Lonchura striata: one gene and its partner. The protein of the gene in region 1 purifies or fractionates together with the protein of each later gene. This does not show direct contact. Links are inferred from orthologs where the notes say so. Each region holds a gene or a part of one and is shown in the gene's direction. Other genes may lie near its edges.

Evidence for each region. Proteins that work in one complex are often made in the same cells at the same time.
Region 2: the proteins of YAP1 (region 1) and RPL7 purify together in Homo sapiens (affinity purification with mass spectrometry, with the first as the bait; 3 studies listed by BioGRID). This does not show direct contact. The link is inferred for Lonchura striata from reciprocal best matches to the Homo sapiens genes YAP1 and RPL7.

Annotation. Positions count from the first base shown.
Region 1 is NC_134604.1:42,218,596-42,226,132, forward strand, and holds the start of YAP1 (transcriptional coactivator YAP1), read left to right. Parts: upstream 1-4,535; 5' UTR 4,536-4,793; coding exon 4,794-5,117; intron 5,118-7,537. Other genes in the region: CFAP300 (cilia- and flagella-associated protein 300), read left to right, coding at 3,672-3,803. UniProt on the Homo sapiens protein: Transcriptional regulator with dual roles as a coactivator and corepressor. Critical downstream regulatory target in the Hippo signaling pathway, crucial for organ size control and tumor suppression by restricting proliferation and promoting apoptosis.
Region 2 is NC_134603.1:32,484,230-32,491,293, forward strand, and holds the start of RPL7 (large ribosomal subunit protein uL30), read left to right. Parts: upstream 1-4,053; 5' UTR 4,054-4,147; coding exon 4,148-4,161; intron 4,162-5,245; coding exon 5,246-5,348; intron 5,349-6,022; coding exon 6,023-6,189; intron 6,190-6,827; coding exon 6,828-6,965; intron 6,966-7,064. Other genes in the region: RDH10 (retinol dehydrogenase 10), read right to left, coding at 297-535, 1,003-1,294.

The DNA of each region.
Region 1 (7,537 bases):
TCCTCCATGCATTACTACACATTCTGAAGAATTATTCTGAAATTACGATTTCTATTAAAGAACATCCTGAAGAATTTTCTCTCAGAAAACAGAAAGGTTTAAACAATGTGTCTAGACTGTTTGATAGTTATGTGGATCAAAACTACTCCAGTCCACATGGCACTTACAAGAAGGACACTTACTGGAGCACAAATGTCTTGTGTTTGTGGTGAAAAGTTTCTCTCAAGGACATAACTACATTACTGCAGTAGATTTAGTTTCTGAGTTCATTTGATAAATAACAGTAGAATGTTACTATAATTCTGACAGTTTTTAAGCCAAGTTTTCTTGATTTGTATCTGGAAGAAAAGGACATACCCTCCTAGCCTGATGTAAGTAGATAAATAATTTTTAAAATAAATAAATTTTAAAAAGCTGATCTCATAAAAGTGACTTGTGCAGCTGAGCACAATTTTAAAACTGTATCTAAAAAAGCACACTGTTAGAGATGTAAATATCTCAAAGTTCTAAATAAATTCACAGAATCACAGAATATGCTGAGTTAGAAGGGACCCACAAGGATGCTCAAGTTCAAATCCTGGTCCTGCACAGCACCATCCCCAGGGGTCACACTGTGTGCCAGAGAGTGTTGCTCAAACACTTCATGACCTCTGTCAGGCTAGTGCTGTGACCACTTCCCTGAGGAGCCTGTTCCAGTGCCCAACCACCCTCTGTGTGAAGAACCTTTTCCTGAGATCCAGCCTAAACCTGCTCTGAGTCAGCTTTGTGCTTTTGCCTCAGGTGCTGTCACTGGTCACCATAGAGCAGAGATCAGTGTCTGCCACTCCTCTTCCCCTCACAAGGAAGCTGCAGACTGTAGTGAGGTCTCCCCTCAGTCTCCTCCAGGCTGAACAGAGCAAGTGACCTCAGCAACTCCTCATACAATTTCCCCTCAAGTCCCTTCACCATCTTCATTGGCCTCCTTTGGACACTCTCTAATACTTTAATGTCTTTTTTTATATGGTGGCATCCAGAACTGCCCCCAGCACTGGAGGTGAGGCTGCCCCAGTGCAGAGCAGGACAATCCCCTCCCTTGCCCAGCTGGCCATGTTGTGCCTGATGCCCCCCAGGACAGGGTTGGCCCTCCTGGCTGCCAGGGCACTGCTGGTCATGTTCAGCTTGCCACAGACCAGGACTCCCAGGTCCCTTTGTGCAGGACTGCTCTGCAGCATCTCATTGCCCAGTCTGCCCATACATCCAGGGCTGCCCCATCCCAGGTGCAGAATCCAGCACTTTCTCTTGTTGAACTCCATATGGTTGGTCATTGTCCAGCCCTCCAATTTGTTGAGGTCTCTCTTACAAATGTCTGTAGAGCTCTTCCGCATCAAAACCTCATAGACCTGGGCATCACAAGAGAAATAATTTTAGATCTTGTGACAAAGTACTCTGTTGAACTCCAAATACCCTTGAGAACTTTGGAGCTTTGCATATAATGAAACACTTTTACAGCTTAAGTATTTTCAAGAAGTATTTTTGAAAATTGTTAATTACATTATGCAGTTTTGAGACTCTTCAGCAGTATTTTTATTTCTGTTTTATGCTATGCATATGTATTCTTAAATCATCAGCTGTGTTGCTACAAATAAAAAATAAAATTATCCTACTTTAACATAAGTAAATCAATCATTACACCCCCTGCATGTATGAACCAAAGTCCACACTGCAGATGGAATTGGTATGATTCTTAATTGTGTATATGCATGAATGTAAATATCAGAGCCTTTATGCTCAAGCATTTTAGGGGTTTTTATGACCTCTTTTGCTCATTAAAATTAAGAACCTTTTCATTTAATTATATTATATTAACTATTTTCCTGATACTAGGTTTGGTGATTGCTTGAAATGCCTCATCACCAGAACTTAAATTGTTTTTGTTCCTGAGTTGTTGAACAAATTTTTAGTGGGCTCGTTCAAAATCTCAACTGCCACAACCTCAAAACCTCAATCAATTCCACACAGACTGCAGGAGTGGGATCCTCAGTACCAATGGGAAAAGAGTTTAACTGACAATCATGTCTTGATGCTGATCTTGTGTTACTTTTTTTCCTTCAGTTACATGCATGATTTTAGGTTATTTTTGGATCAAATTCCAAAGGCCTCTTGATGCTGAGCACTATAAAATCTTAAAAATTTGCTCTCCTTACTGCAGTTGAGAATCCAGTGTTTGTTATACATGTATCCTTAGAAAACACCTGAAGAAAGCTAGGTATCCTGCAATTGGAGCTACAGAGCTTATATGCTGTGCCACTTAAAATTAGAATGCTATTTCTAGCTTGTGGTATTTGACTACCATTGGAAAATTCTGGGAATAAATATCAAATCTCTACCTGTCTAAAAAGTGCTTTTATGAGGTGCTTATCTTAAGATTTAGGGTTTGAATAATCCCCCAAAACATCTAATAACAAAACATCCCCTCAGACCATCTAATAATGGATTAATTGTCTTCAAAACAGCAGGAGAAAGCGGGGTGCCAGTAACAGCTAAAGAATAAAATTCATAATTGGTCCTTGGTGCAGAAATGGTGACCCAGCTCTTTTCCTTCTCATCTGACTGACTTAACCACTGAAAGAGGTTACACTTTTCATGTTTCTTTGGTCCAAAAAAAGCTGTCTTCCTTTTATGCAAAGAAAGACAGCTTCAACAGAAAAATGAAAAGATGTGAAATCTGGAATAGTCTGTAGTCTGTGAGTTTAAAATTTTCCTGGAGAAAATGAACAATATATGCAATGTAGCAATTTCCCTCAAGCAGGAAAAGTGTAACAGAACCCACATCTCTTCAACTATTGTACAAAGGTGTTGGGGAGCAGGAGGAAACTGTTATATGTTTTAAAAGAAAGGAAGTGTCAGCTACATATTTATTGATCTTTCACATGTTCAATTACCACACTAACTAAATAAAAAACCCGAATGCTTTAAAAATCCCTCCATCTAGTTTTTGGATCCCTACTGGATTTGAAGTGTGTCCAGCTGTGCTGGTCTGTCAACACTGAAGCTTTTATTGACATGTGCAGACGTAGGATGTTAATGTGAAGAACCCAATTCCCCTGCTAATTGTCAGCTGAATGTATTTTTTTCAGAACGAGGATTTTGCAGCTAGGTGTCTAGAATCCCTTCAAACCTTTTCTGAGGACTGGCACACAGAATGTTTCCAATAATAGTCCAAAGTTGTTAATGTGATCTGTAATAAGCGTTTTGCTTAAATGCAAATATTGGAACCTGAACAGATGCATCAGCAAATGTTAAGTGAAAAACATAACAGCAGATGGAACAGCTTTATGTATTAATATAGTGATTATTTTTCTCTTTCAAAGGCAACGTGATTAGCTGTAATCATTTGTATTTTAGGCTCTAATTGTGTAAACACATGCTTGTATGTTTTACATTTTATATAAATATTACATTTACCTCAAGGTTATTTGATACATCCAGTCAGAATTACTGTGCATTTTGTAGTGTTGGGATCCTCATGGGGAAATACACCATTTAAATAAACTGCAGTGTATTTGTTTTATTTTGCTGTGCAATGAACAGTTACAACTGGAACAAAATTATTAACTTCAGATTTTATTCTCTTACAGATATCTCTGTTGTCCCTAATACTGTTTTGGTTTTGGTTTTTTTCTTCCTTTCAGGATGTTAATGGCCTGTGTTACCCTTCAAACAAAAGCCACCAACAGACTTTTGCCTACTTGATTGTGGATCCCTGCAAGCGACACGTGAATATTCTGTATCACTGTTTCGGTGAAAGCCTATTTGCAAACTAGTTATAAACCTGGCTGGTGCCCAGTTTTATAATGGAGATTGCCTTCTTTCTGTTGGGCTCAGGTAGACATTGCATAGTTTTCTGACGAGGAAAGCTCTACTCCTTGATGATGTGCTCAGAAGTAATTGTCATTCACTCAGATGTTAATGTGTGGTTAATGACAGTAGTTTTCCGGTATGTGTAGTTCTGGAAGCTGTTTTCTTGGCCGTTTCCCCCCTTCCCTCACCCGTGTTATTTAATAAAAAGTATTTCTCTAGAGGTCTCGTCATTTTTATGAGCCTGCTTTACAGACCCGCGACGCGTATCTGCAGGGGAGACTCTGCAGTCGGTGAAAGCTCAGCGGAATCGGGAGATAGCACGGAGGGGACCGGCGGGAGGGGTCCCGGCCCGATGGCCCCTCCGGGCCGGTGGCAGGGAAGCGCGGCCGCCCCTCCCAACCCCCTGGCGAAGCGGCCTCCTGGAAGTTGGGATAGAAGTTCGGGAGAAATAAAAGTTCTGGTTGGCGGCAGCGGGCGGTGCGGGGCGGTGCGGAGCCGGGCCGGGCCGCGGGCGGAGCGGGGTCCGCGGGGCCGCGCAGCGCCCCCAGCGCCCCGGGCGGGAGGCGGTGCGGGCGGGCGCGCGCAGCAGCGCTGCGAGCACGGGCTCCCTCGCTCGGATACGGTGCGGGCGGGCTCAGGAGGGGCGGAGCCGGCGGCGGAGAGTGATTCGGGCGGGCGTAACTGCGAACTTTTGTTTGGTGTGTTGTGTGAGTTAGTTTCCGCCGCCGGGACAGAGGCGCCGGCCGGGCTGGGCCGGGCTCGGGGAAGCGCCGCACGGCCGGAGTTGTTTTGCCAGTTGCCGCGGGCGGGTCGGCTTCCCGACCGAGGGGTGAGAAGCACCGGCGACAGCAGGACGAACCCGCGGCCCGGGGAGCGGGGCATGCGGGACTGGGAATCCGGGCTCTGAGCCGCCGAGCCCCGCCAGGGAAGCGCCGGGGGGTCCCGACGGAGCCATGGATCCTGGGCAGCCTCAAACGCAGCAGCCGCCGCAGGCGGCGCAGCCCCCGGCCCCGCAGCAGCAGCAGCCGCCGCCGCAGCCCCCTGGCCCGGTGTCGGGGGCCCCGGCCGGCGCGGCGCAGCCCCCGGGGGCTGGGCCCCCTCCGGCGGGGCACCAGATCGTCCATGTGCGGGGCGACTCGGAGACCGACTTGGAGGCGCTGTTCAACGCCGTGATGAACCCCAAGGGCGCCAACGTGCCACACACGCTGCCCATGCGACTGCGGAAACTGCCCGACTCCTTCTTCAAGCCGCCCGAGCCCAAGGCCCACTCCCGCCAGGTGAGGGGGAGGGAGGGCAGGGGCCCGCGCCGCGGGCGGGCGGGGGCAGCCCGGCCGGGCCGAGCTCCCCCTCCCCGCCGAGCTCCTCCCGGGGGAGGCGTGTGGGGGAGGGGGCCGGGGCGGGAATCCGCCAGCGGGGCGGGGGGCGCCCGGCCGGGGCTCTCCGCCGCCCCCACACCCCTTTATTTGTTCTCCCCCTGGGGCAGGGCCGCCTCCCGCGCCCCGAGACGCCGACGGGGCCGGGACCCGCGGCGGGAGGGCGGGCGAGCGCCGGCCCCGTCCCTGTCTCCGGCGGGGCCCCGATCTCCACATCCGCTCCTTGGCCATCTCGGCCTCGACCGTGGGGGTGAGCCCCTAAAACTTGGGTGAAAACGCTTCGCTTGGAATGTCGCTTTGCGGTACAATTCCCTGCCCTCTATAGAAGGGGTCGATGAAGTGGTGCCAAACCTACACCCCCTCGCCCCGTCAGACAGTAAATATGGATGTGATTTTCCACCATTTCAGGACGGCGCTGTTTTGAGTGGGATTAACCCCCCACGTACACACGCACGCACATCCGAAGTTAATTGCCGAAGCAGACGCCGGGTCTGCCGGCGTTCGGGGTCCGCCGGGCGCAGCGCCCGCGCCCCGGGCAGCGGCGACTGCAGGCTGCGGCCGGGGCTCGCAGCCCTGGGGCCTCGGCCGCGCCGGCCCGGGGAGGGAGCGATGCGGGGCAGGGCCGCAGCGAGCGGGGGAGGGATGCGGGGCAGGGCCGGGAAGGGGGCGGGCCAGGGCCGGGGGGAAGGGGCGATGCGGGGGCAGGGCCGGGGAGGAGCGGGGTGGGGTCTGCGGGGCAGGGTCTGTCTGGCCTCCGGCAGCGTTTGGTGTTTAAGCAGAGGGATTTTTGTACCAAGACCTAAGTGCTGGTGTGAATACGAGCGAAAGCTAATGATGTTAACCAGCGTTTTGGATGGAGACTGTGCCTACCTAGTCAAGTGTTATTAAGTAATGAACTTAGTTACTAAGCTATAAAATAGGTTGTATTACTGGCTGTTGTCACTTTATCTATGTAGCCAGTAAGGGTGAAACTCGCTGTGTACTGGTGCCTGGTACCCGTGTTGTTAAGGGTCTGTCAACATTTCCATTATTAAACTTCTGTTTTGAACGATTTATAGCTTGACTTCAGAAGTTCATTCCAGGCTGAACCTTGGCACGTACTCTCACAGCCTAGGAGTTAATTCATTTTCCAAATACTCAAAAAAAGCAGTCTGGCCTTCATATAGGAAGACTGAAAAGAAATTGGAAGGGGTGGAGCTGATCTGCCTCTTTAGTTTTGCTAGCTTTTGAGTTGCAGACCTTTAATAATGTACTGAAATCCAGCAAGGAATAAGGGTTTATGTATAGTGTTCTCCCAACTTGTGCAAATCTCATTGCGGTTCCATTGTGTACAAATCTGAATGGGTAGGCATTTGTCTAACACTTGGTGCTGTGTCTTGTTAAATACATTAACTGCAGTTAAATAGCTAACATGTTTGAAATGCTCTAAAAGTGTGTGATAGTCATACAACTTTCGGTTGTACTTTTAGGCTTAGCCTTACATTCCTTGTGTATGTTAATCTTTGCCTGTAAATCATACTTAGTTCGATCTCTGTTCCTAGTACCACTCAGTGGTTCCTAAAACATAAACTTGGAATCCAGCTAAAGCAAGAGAGAATCATTTGCTTCATTGTGGACTATTTTCATTTTTCCTTTTTGTTTAGTTGTGCCACATAAACATTCTGCTTAAAGAAAAGATTTCTATTTTCTATAATTCTGTGATTCTCAGGAGTTAAAATATTATAATTCCACTTGATTTACTACTTGCTTCTTTTGTCTGCATATAAGTGAAAACTGATTTGTTTCCACTTGAACACATGGAACTTCATGTGTGCTTGAAGGTTTCCATTTGAACACATGGAACTTCATGTGCTTGCACACATGAAGTGTGAGGGAGTGAAGCAGAAGTGTAACAGTGTGTAAGTGGGTCCTCTTATGGTGCAATACCTTGTAGAGAGGTGTGACAGGGATTGATACATGCATCTCATTATAGATGCCAATGTTGTTCTGGTCTGTCTATAAAACCAGTTAATTGGTAAATATATTTTTAAAAGCCAATTTTACTTTAACCAGGTTTTTAGACCTGCCTTTTCTGTTCCATGTTGGGCATATATTTAGTACTGGCAAGGACTTTCTGTATATTTATGAGTGGTGACTTCTGTGAATGGGTTTGTGGGTCATTTCTGATTGACTGGTTCAACCTTTTGCTGAAGCTTTGCTTTGGATAAAGCATGGATAGACTGTAAAAGTTTGACTTAAAAATTTTAGTTATTAGGAAATGTTACATTCAGTCTTGTTTAGGTTTTTTGTAATGGTTGAATTAATAAGTCTTCCTCCATTGGAAC
Region 2 (7,064 bases), on another chromosome or scaffold:
ATTCAGAGATTATTGCTTGTAAAGGATTTAATACCCAAAGCTACAGAAATGGCCAGAAGACTTAGAACTCTGGATTCTAGGAGGATACAGCTGATTAAAAACTATTTGTTAACAATCTTAATACCAGCATTCCTGTTAAACAGAACAGTGAATTCAAAACAAGAAACACCCAAAGCAGTAATCCTACAAGTAAAAAAGAACAAGTACAAACCTCAAGGAGACAGGAGTTCTGCAACAGCAGTTCATTTCCCAAAATTAATTACCAACAAGGGCAGCAGAAAGGAGTTTATAGTTACCCAGAAGTGTGCGTGACAGTTAACCATCATGGTCCTCTCAATAAGCTCATCAGGACACTCCAGAAGATGGTGCCCGGAGACCACACCAGCATTGTTAACCAGGACAGACACCTCGCCAACCTCCTTACGGACCCTCTCAGCTGTCAAGTAGACATTCTCTCTTTTGCCCACATCACAGGTGTACGTGTAAACCTGCAAGTTGCAATGGGGCAGCACATCTTTCTCTCCATCTCCAGCCACTAAAGAATACAGATAAAAGAACAGAAGGGGTGGGGGGCAATAAGGTTCTTGCTCATATATTGACATTCAAACAAGTAGTTCAAGCAGAAATAGCAAATACAATTTCAAACCGCCAAAACTTTTATTTACTTTGGTGTCATTGCAGTACACCAGGAGTCAGCTATTTACTAACGCCGCTACGTGTTTTAGGAAGAGCTGCAGGTTTTAAAGCCGCTGCTGGGGTCCGAGGCTCCGCGAAGCAGGTCTGCGCTCATCGCTGCCGGCACAGGGCCGGCTCTGGCTCGCAGGAGCACCGTCGGGGCGTCTGACACTCTGCGCCCGGCGGTCTCCAGCCCGGAGCTGCTCTCAGGGCCCGCCGCAGGTGAGCGCTGCTCCGGGCTGGACCCGCCGGGCGCAGCCCCGGCTCCCCCTGCCCCGGGCCGGGCAGGTGAGCGGCGGGGACAGCGCGGGGAGCCCCGCCGCTTACCTCCGGGGGCGGCGGCCGCCGCCTCCTCGGCCATCTCCCGGTAGATGTGCCGCACCATGCCCGCCGTCTCCTCGTTGCTCTGCGTGTTGATGTCCCACAGCACCAAAAGCGCCCGGCGCCGGGCGAACTCCAGGGCGAAGAGGCGGCCCAGGCCGCTGCCCGCCCCGGTGATCAGGCACACCTGCCCCGCCACACTTTTCTCTTTGGGCCGCACCAGCCACTTGGCCGCGGCCAGCACGAACGCCCACAGCACTCGGAAAGTCACCACGAAGAACTCCAGTAGGATGTTCATGCTGCCGGACCGCGGGGCCGGCGGCACGGAGCCTCCTGGCCGCCCGGCTCCCGGAGCTGGAGCCGCCGCTGCCCGGACCGCCCGCCGCGGGCACCGCGGGAGGCTCCGCTCACGGGGGTCCCGCCGCCGAGCTGCCCCCCCCCGCGCCGCTCGCAGCCCGCGCCCGCCTCAGTCACACACGCCGAGGACGGAGCCCGGACACGGCGCTGCCTGCCTGCCCACCGCCTGCCTGCCCACCGCCTGCCCGCCCTGCCCCGTCCCGCCCGCGGCCCCGCTACTGGCAGTGAACATCTTGCTCGCTCGGCCCCTCTATATAGGGCGGACCGGGAGGCCGAGCCCCTCCCCCGGGCCGGCCCATCCCGCCCCGCATTCCCGGGACCCCCCGCCCCTGTCCCGCTCCGCCCCGCCGCCGGGGGAGGTCCCCGACGGGAACGGGGACGGGACAGCCGGTGCTTTGCGCTGCTGGGGGCGGGCGTCCCGGCGGCTCCCGGCGGCTCCAGCCCGCCCCAGGACTACAAGTCCCGGGGTGCGCCGCGCCCCGCCGGAGCGCCATCTCGGGCGCGATGCCGCGGCGCGGGTTGGAGGGACGCGGACGGGCGCTGGAGGTTCGTGCTCGGGGCTAGAGACGCAGGGAAGCTGGGAGCCCACAGGAACCACTGGGCTACCGCAGGATGCACGATGCCCGCGTGCCTGGGGATTCTCTGCTGAGCTGTGAGAAACCGCTGAGGGAAACGCCCATGACTTCTTGGTCTGTCAGCCAAGTACAGAGGTCACTGATATCTCACCCGCCACGGACTGAAATAGGAGCTCACAGGTGCCAGCACACGGAAAGTATTTTCTTCTGTGCGATAACAGCGGCCGCTCCCTGTATCTGGGCTCCCTGCGGCCACCCGGCGCCGGAGCATCCCGCTCCTCCATTTGCCAGTTCCAGAGGATGAGGACGAGAGCGTGCCCTTGGGTGTGCAGGACTCATCCCACTGCCTCTGCTCGCCTGCATCCCTGTGCCTTAAGTGCACGACGCTGCGCTGTCTTCCCTGTGTAGCTGCCAGTTGTCAGAAAAGTTGGAACTTTGTGAACGCTGCCTCTCGGATTGAGCAGAAATTCAAGTTCAAAAGTTTCAGAAGAAAGTGCAGACTTCTTTCTTCAGTAGATATTTGCGGGTGGTTTTGCGTGCTGATTTTAATCCCCCCCCCCCCCCCCTATAATATTGCTAATAAGATCAAGTGATACAAATGTCTGTATTAGCACAAAATAACATTATAGTAAAAAAATGAACATTGATACAAAGCACTCTCAATAACGTTCTCAGGCGTTAGTGCTGTGCGACACCTCTGCGTGCTGTTAATTGGCAACAAATAAGGTCAGTAAATGCAGAGCTCGGCATTCCTTATGCCCCGCCCTGCTGTCTACACGGTTTTTTATACCGGATAGTGCTTTGCTGCTAAGAGTTCCACTAATTTCTCTTCTCCCCGTGTGAAAATCACCTCTCAGGGTGATTTTCGGCGCACAGGTAGGCGCGCACAGGATGAGACTTAGGAGCCACAGCCTTAAGCAGCCTTCCAAGCTGCTGTGCTGGGCAGCGCTGCTTCCTGAGCCACCCTCCCTTCTCTACACTGCAGTTACTGATTCTGTATGGCGAACCGAAAAGATGTCCAGCCTGATGAAAACCCATCCCGGCAGAAACGGATCCCGTGGTTGCCATTTGCCCGTGCGTGCCGGTGAACCATCCTGCGGGCAGGGCAGCATTCCCATCCAGCCTCCATTCCCGCCGCGGTGCTGAGCGCGGGCGGGAGGTGGCGTCCCGCGGGCGCGAAGGACGGGGTTTAAGGCTGAAACGGGAAATCCTGCCTCAGACAAGACGGCTGGCAGCACCCACCCGGGGCTCCTGCTCAGCCTCCTGCAGGGAAGGCGGGTCTGGTGGCGGAGCGGTTCCCGCCCGGCCCGCGATACAGCCCGTGCTGGGGACACAGCCCGTGCTGGGGACACAGCCCGTGCCGGGGACACAGCCCGTGCCGGGGACACAGCCGAGCCCGGGACACAGCCGAGCCCGGGACACAGACCGTGCCCGGGACACAGCCGAGCCCGGGACACAGCCGAGCCCGGGACACAGCCCGTGCTGGGGACACAGCCGAGCCCGGGACACAGACCGTGCCCGGGACACAGCCGAGCCCGGGACACAGCCGAGCCCGGGACACAGACCGTGCCCGGGACACAGACCGAGCCCGGGACACAGACCGATCTCGGGACACAGCCCGTGCTGGGGACACAGCCGAGCCCGGGACACAGCCCGATCCCGGCTCACAGCCCGATCACCGGACACAGTCGATCCCGGCACACAGCCCGATTACCGGACACAACCGATCCCCGGACACAACCGATCCCGGGACACAGCCAATCCCGGGACAGAACCGATCCCCGGACACAGTCGATCCCGGGAGAGAGCCGATCCCGGGACACAGCCCGATCCCGGGACAGAACCGATCCCCGGACACAGTCGATCCCGGGAGAGAGCCGATCCCGGGACAGAGCCGGTTCTGGGACACAGCCGATCCCGGGACACAGCCGATCCCGGGAGAGAGCCGATCCCGGGACAGAGCCGGTTCTGGGACACAGCCGATCCCGGGACACAGCCGATCCCGGGACACAGCCGTCTCCAGCCCTGCTGGGCGGAAGCAGTTCCCGGACACTTTTACCTCAGGCACTCGCTGGACACCCCGGCACTCGCACGGCGGTCGGGCACAACGGAGGACGTCCAAACGCGGGGTCCTGCCGGAGGGCAGGGCCTCGGCTGCGCGGGCCAATGAGCTAAGAGCGCGCCGCGCAGGCGCAGGCCCCTCTCTTCCGGCGCTGACCATGGCGGACAAGGAGTGAGTCCCGTCCTGCCCGCTGCCATCCACCGCCATCCGCGGCCATCCGCGCCGCCCGAGCCCTGCCCTTGCCGCCCCCGGGGCCGCCGCGCCTCCGCAGGGGCTGGGAGCGGTGGGAGGGGAGGGAGCGGCGCGGCGGAGATGGAGCCACCACCGGCCCGGCCCTCCCGCAGGCGGCGGCTGCGGCCGCCGGCCCTCGGCGGGGTGGAGAGGGAGAGCGGGCCCCGAGCGCAGCCGTGGCCGGGAATGTGGGGCCGGGGCGGCGAGTTCCTCCCGACTGGGCGAGCGGGCAGGGCTGTGTTGGGGTTGGAGCTGGGAGCGACTGTCCGTCGGCCTGGTGTAGGCGCTCGTTAGGGTGACTGTGGCTCTATAAACGCTGTGTTGACAAGTTTTGTCGTGTCTAAGAGTTTAAAGTCTCCGTGACGAGAAGGAACGGGGTACAAAGTGATGTTTAGGAAGCTCTGCCTGAAGTTGAGGAGGAATTTCTTTTCCGTACGGGTGACCACGCACTGGAACAGGTTGTCCAGGGAGGTTGTGGAGTCTCCCTCTTTAGGGGTGTTCAGAACCATGCAGCCTGTGCCGTGTGCTCTGGGACGGTCCTGCTTGAGCAGGGAGGTGGGACCGGATGACCCGCTGTGTTTCCTTCCGACATCACCCACCTGTGATAGTCTGAGCAAGCTGAGAGTCCTGTCTAATAAATGACACGGTACTTCCAAATAAGCTTTTCCTGTTCAAGCACCTGTTGAAGTGTATATTGATCAGAGAGAAGTTATCATGAAAACAACTTTGTTTTCTTAGCAAGGGAGGACAGTCTTTGTAGTTACGGTTGTGTCTGTCAGGGTTTCTTGTCCGGTACAAAATGTGAATGGTGCATGTTCTGAAGCAGAAAATCACCCAGTTCAGTCCCAGGGAGCTGTCCCGGGATGCTCTTCCAGGCCTGGGAACAGTGAGGATGAGGAAGATGCAGTGAAGTGGCTCAAGGTAGCAAGGCCTGCACACATGTTATGCTTGAGGATTTTGATATTTGCACTGCTACTGAGTTTCTTTCTACCAGCTAAAAGCTTTTATTTCTGTTTCCGTTTAGAGTAAAGAAGGTGCCCTCTGTGCCTGAGAGCCTGCTGAAGAAGCGGCAGGCCTACGCGGTCATGAAAGCCAAACGTCAGAAGAAGATCTTGGCTATAAAAAAGGTATATCCTCTGATCCCTTGACTCAAATTGCTTATCTGCTGCAGTAGCAGCTGCTGCTGCTCTGATGCAGTACAGAAATTCACAGTATGTCAGTATTTCTTTAAGTTTTAGACTAAAATTGGTTTTTAGTGGCTGATAACAAAGTTTTGGGCAGAGTTAAGAGTAAAGTGTCTGTAATGTTGTACAGGGCAAGAGGTTATAGCCTTTGTAAGGGGGAGCTTGATGTGTGATTAGAGAATCCTAGAACTGTCAGAGGTTGAAAGGGGTCTTAAAGATCACCTGGCTCCAACCTCTGTGCCAAAGATCCAGTCACACCTGGCTTTGAACACGGTTAGGGTTGGCCCATCCACAGCTGCCCCAGGCAACCCATTCCAGTGTCTCACCATCTTAATACAGCATTTCTTCCTTAATGTCTAAGCTAAATTTTTCGTCTTTCAATTTGTACCCATTATTCTTCATCGCCACAGTGCTGATGAGTAGTCAGGAGTAGTAACATCGGTTGCTGTGTAATAGCCTGCCAGGTTCTCTGGAGCATCACTGAGGGTTGTTCTGAGCTGTGTGATACTGATCTGTGTTACTTGGGGGAAGTTCTAGAACATGGCATGTTACTCAAAGGTGATTTTCATGTGTTAAAAGGCATTTTGTAACTTTAAGTAATTTCCAATTTATTGCAGTACCGCAAGGCACAAAGGAAGCTCATCTATGCAAGAGCCCAGGCTTACCACAAGGAGTACAGGCATATGTACAGGCAGGAGATCCGTATGGCCAGGATGGCCCGGAAAGCTGGCAATTACTACGTCCCAGCTGAGCCAAAACTGGCATTTGTGATCAGGATAAGAGGGTAAGGTTGTGTACAGATACAGGCAATTTTATGTTCAAAATTACTGACTTTGGCTTTCCTGTTATCTCTCTGTTTTGAGGGCTTAAATATATCAACAAGATAAGCTTTCTACCAGTGGCTTGAGAAGTTGTTGGTAGATACTGTACATGCTCTTGAGGGGTGTTGAAGGGCTAAATAATTTTGCTGCCTGCTTTAGGAATACCTGATTTTTAAGAAGACAAAGCTGAAAATACATGCAGGCAATTATTCTTTCTCACCTTTAACTTCATAAAACTACATGCTCTATTCCCAAATATTCTGCTGAACTGTTCTTCAAGTGTTTGTTTTGTTGTACTCTGGTAAAGTGTTCAGAAAACTAAAAAATAGATGTGATTGGAAGAATTATGTTCAGGACAGTGCAAGGCTGGTTCTCAATTGTTTCAGTATAATACTTACCGTTATTTTCATGGAAATGGATGTTTTAACTTTATACTGGAATGTATAGCAATAGTCAGTTAATTTACTAAGCTTGCTTTTTGTAATTCATGAAATGTGTTTTCATATGGGAACAGTGCTGTTGTGTTTAGGGGTTGTTTTTTAGCCTGATGCCTAGCTGCCTGGGATGTTGATAATTCAGACTGTTTCACTTTCTTCTCCAGTACCAACGGTGTCAGCCCTAAGGTTCGCAAGGTTCTGCAACTTCTTCGCCTGCGTCAGATTTTTAATGGCACCTTTGTAAAACTCAACAAAGCCTCCATCAACATGTTGCGGATTGTTGAACCCTACATTGCCTGGGGGTGAGTGAAAGGCCCAAGGCCCAGTTGTACCTTATTAGGGTGCAAGTGTTGAGCAGGTTTTGCATTTTGCTATGCTGGACTTGCGGGGTTTATCTTTTG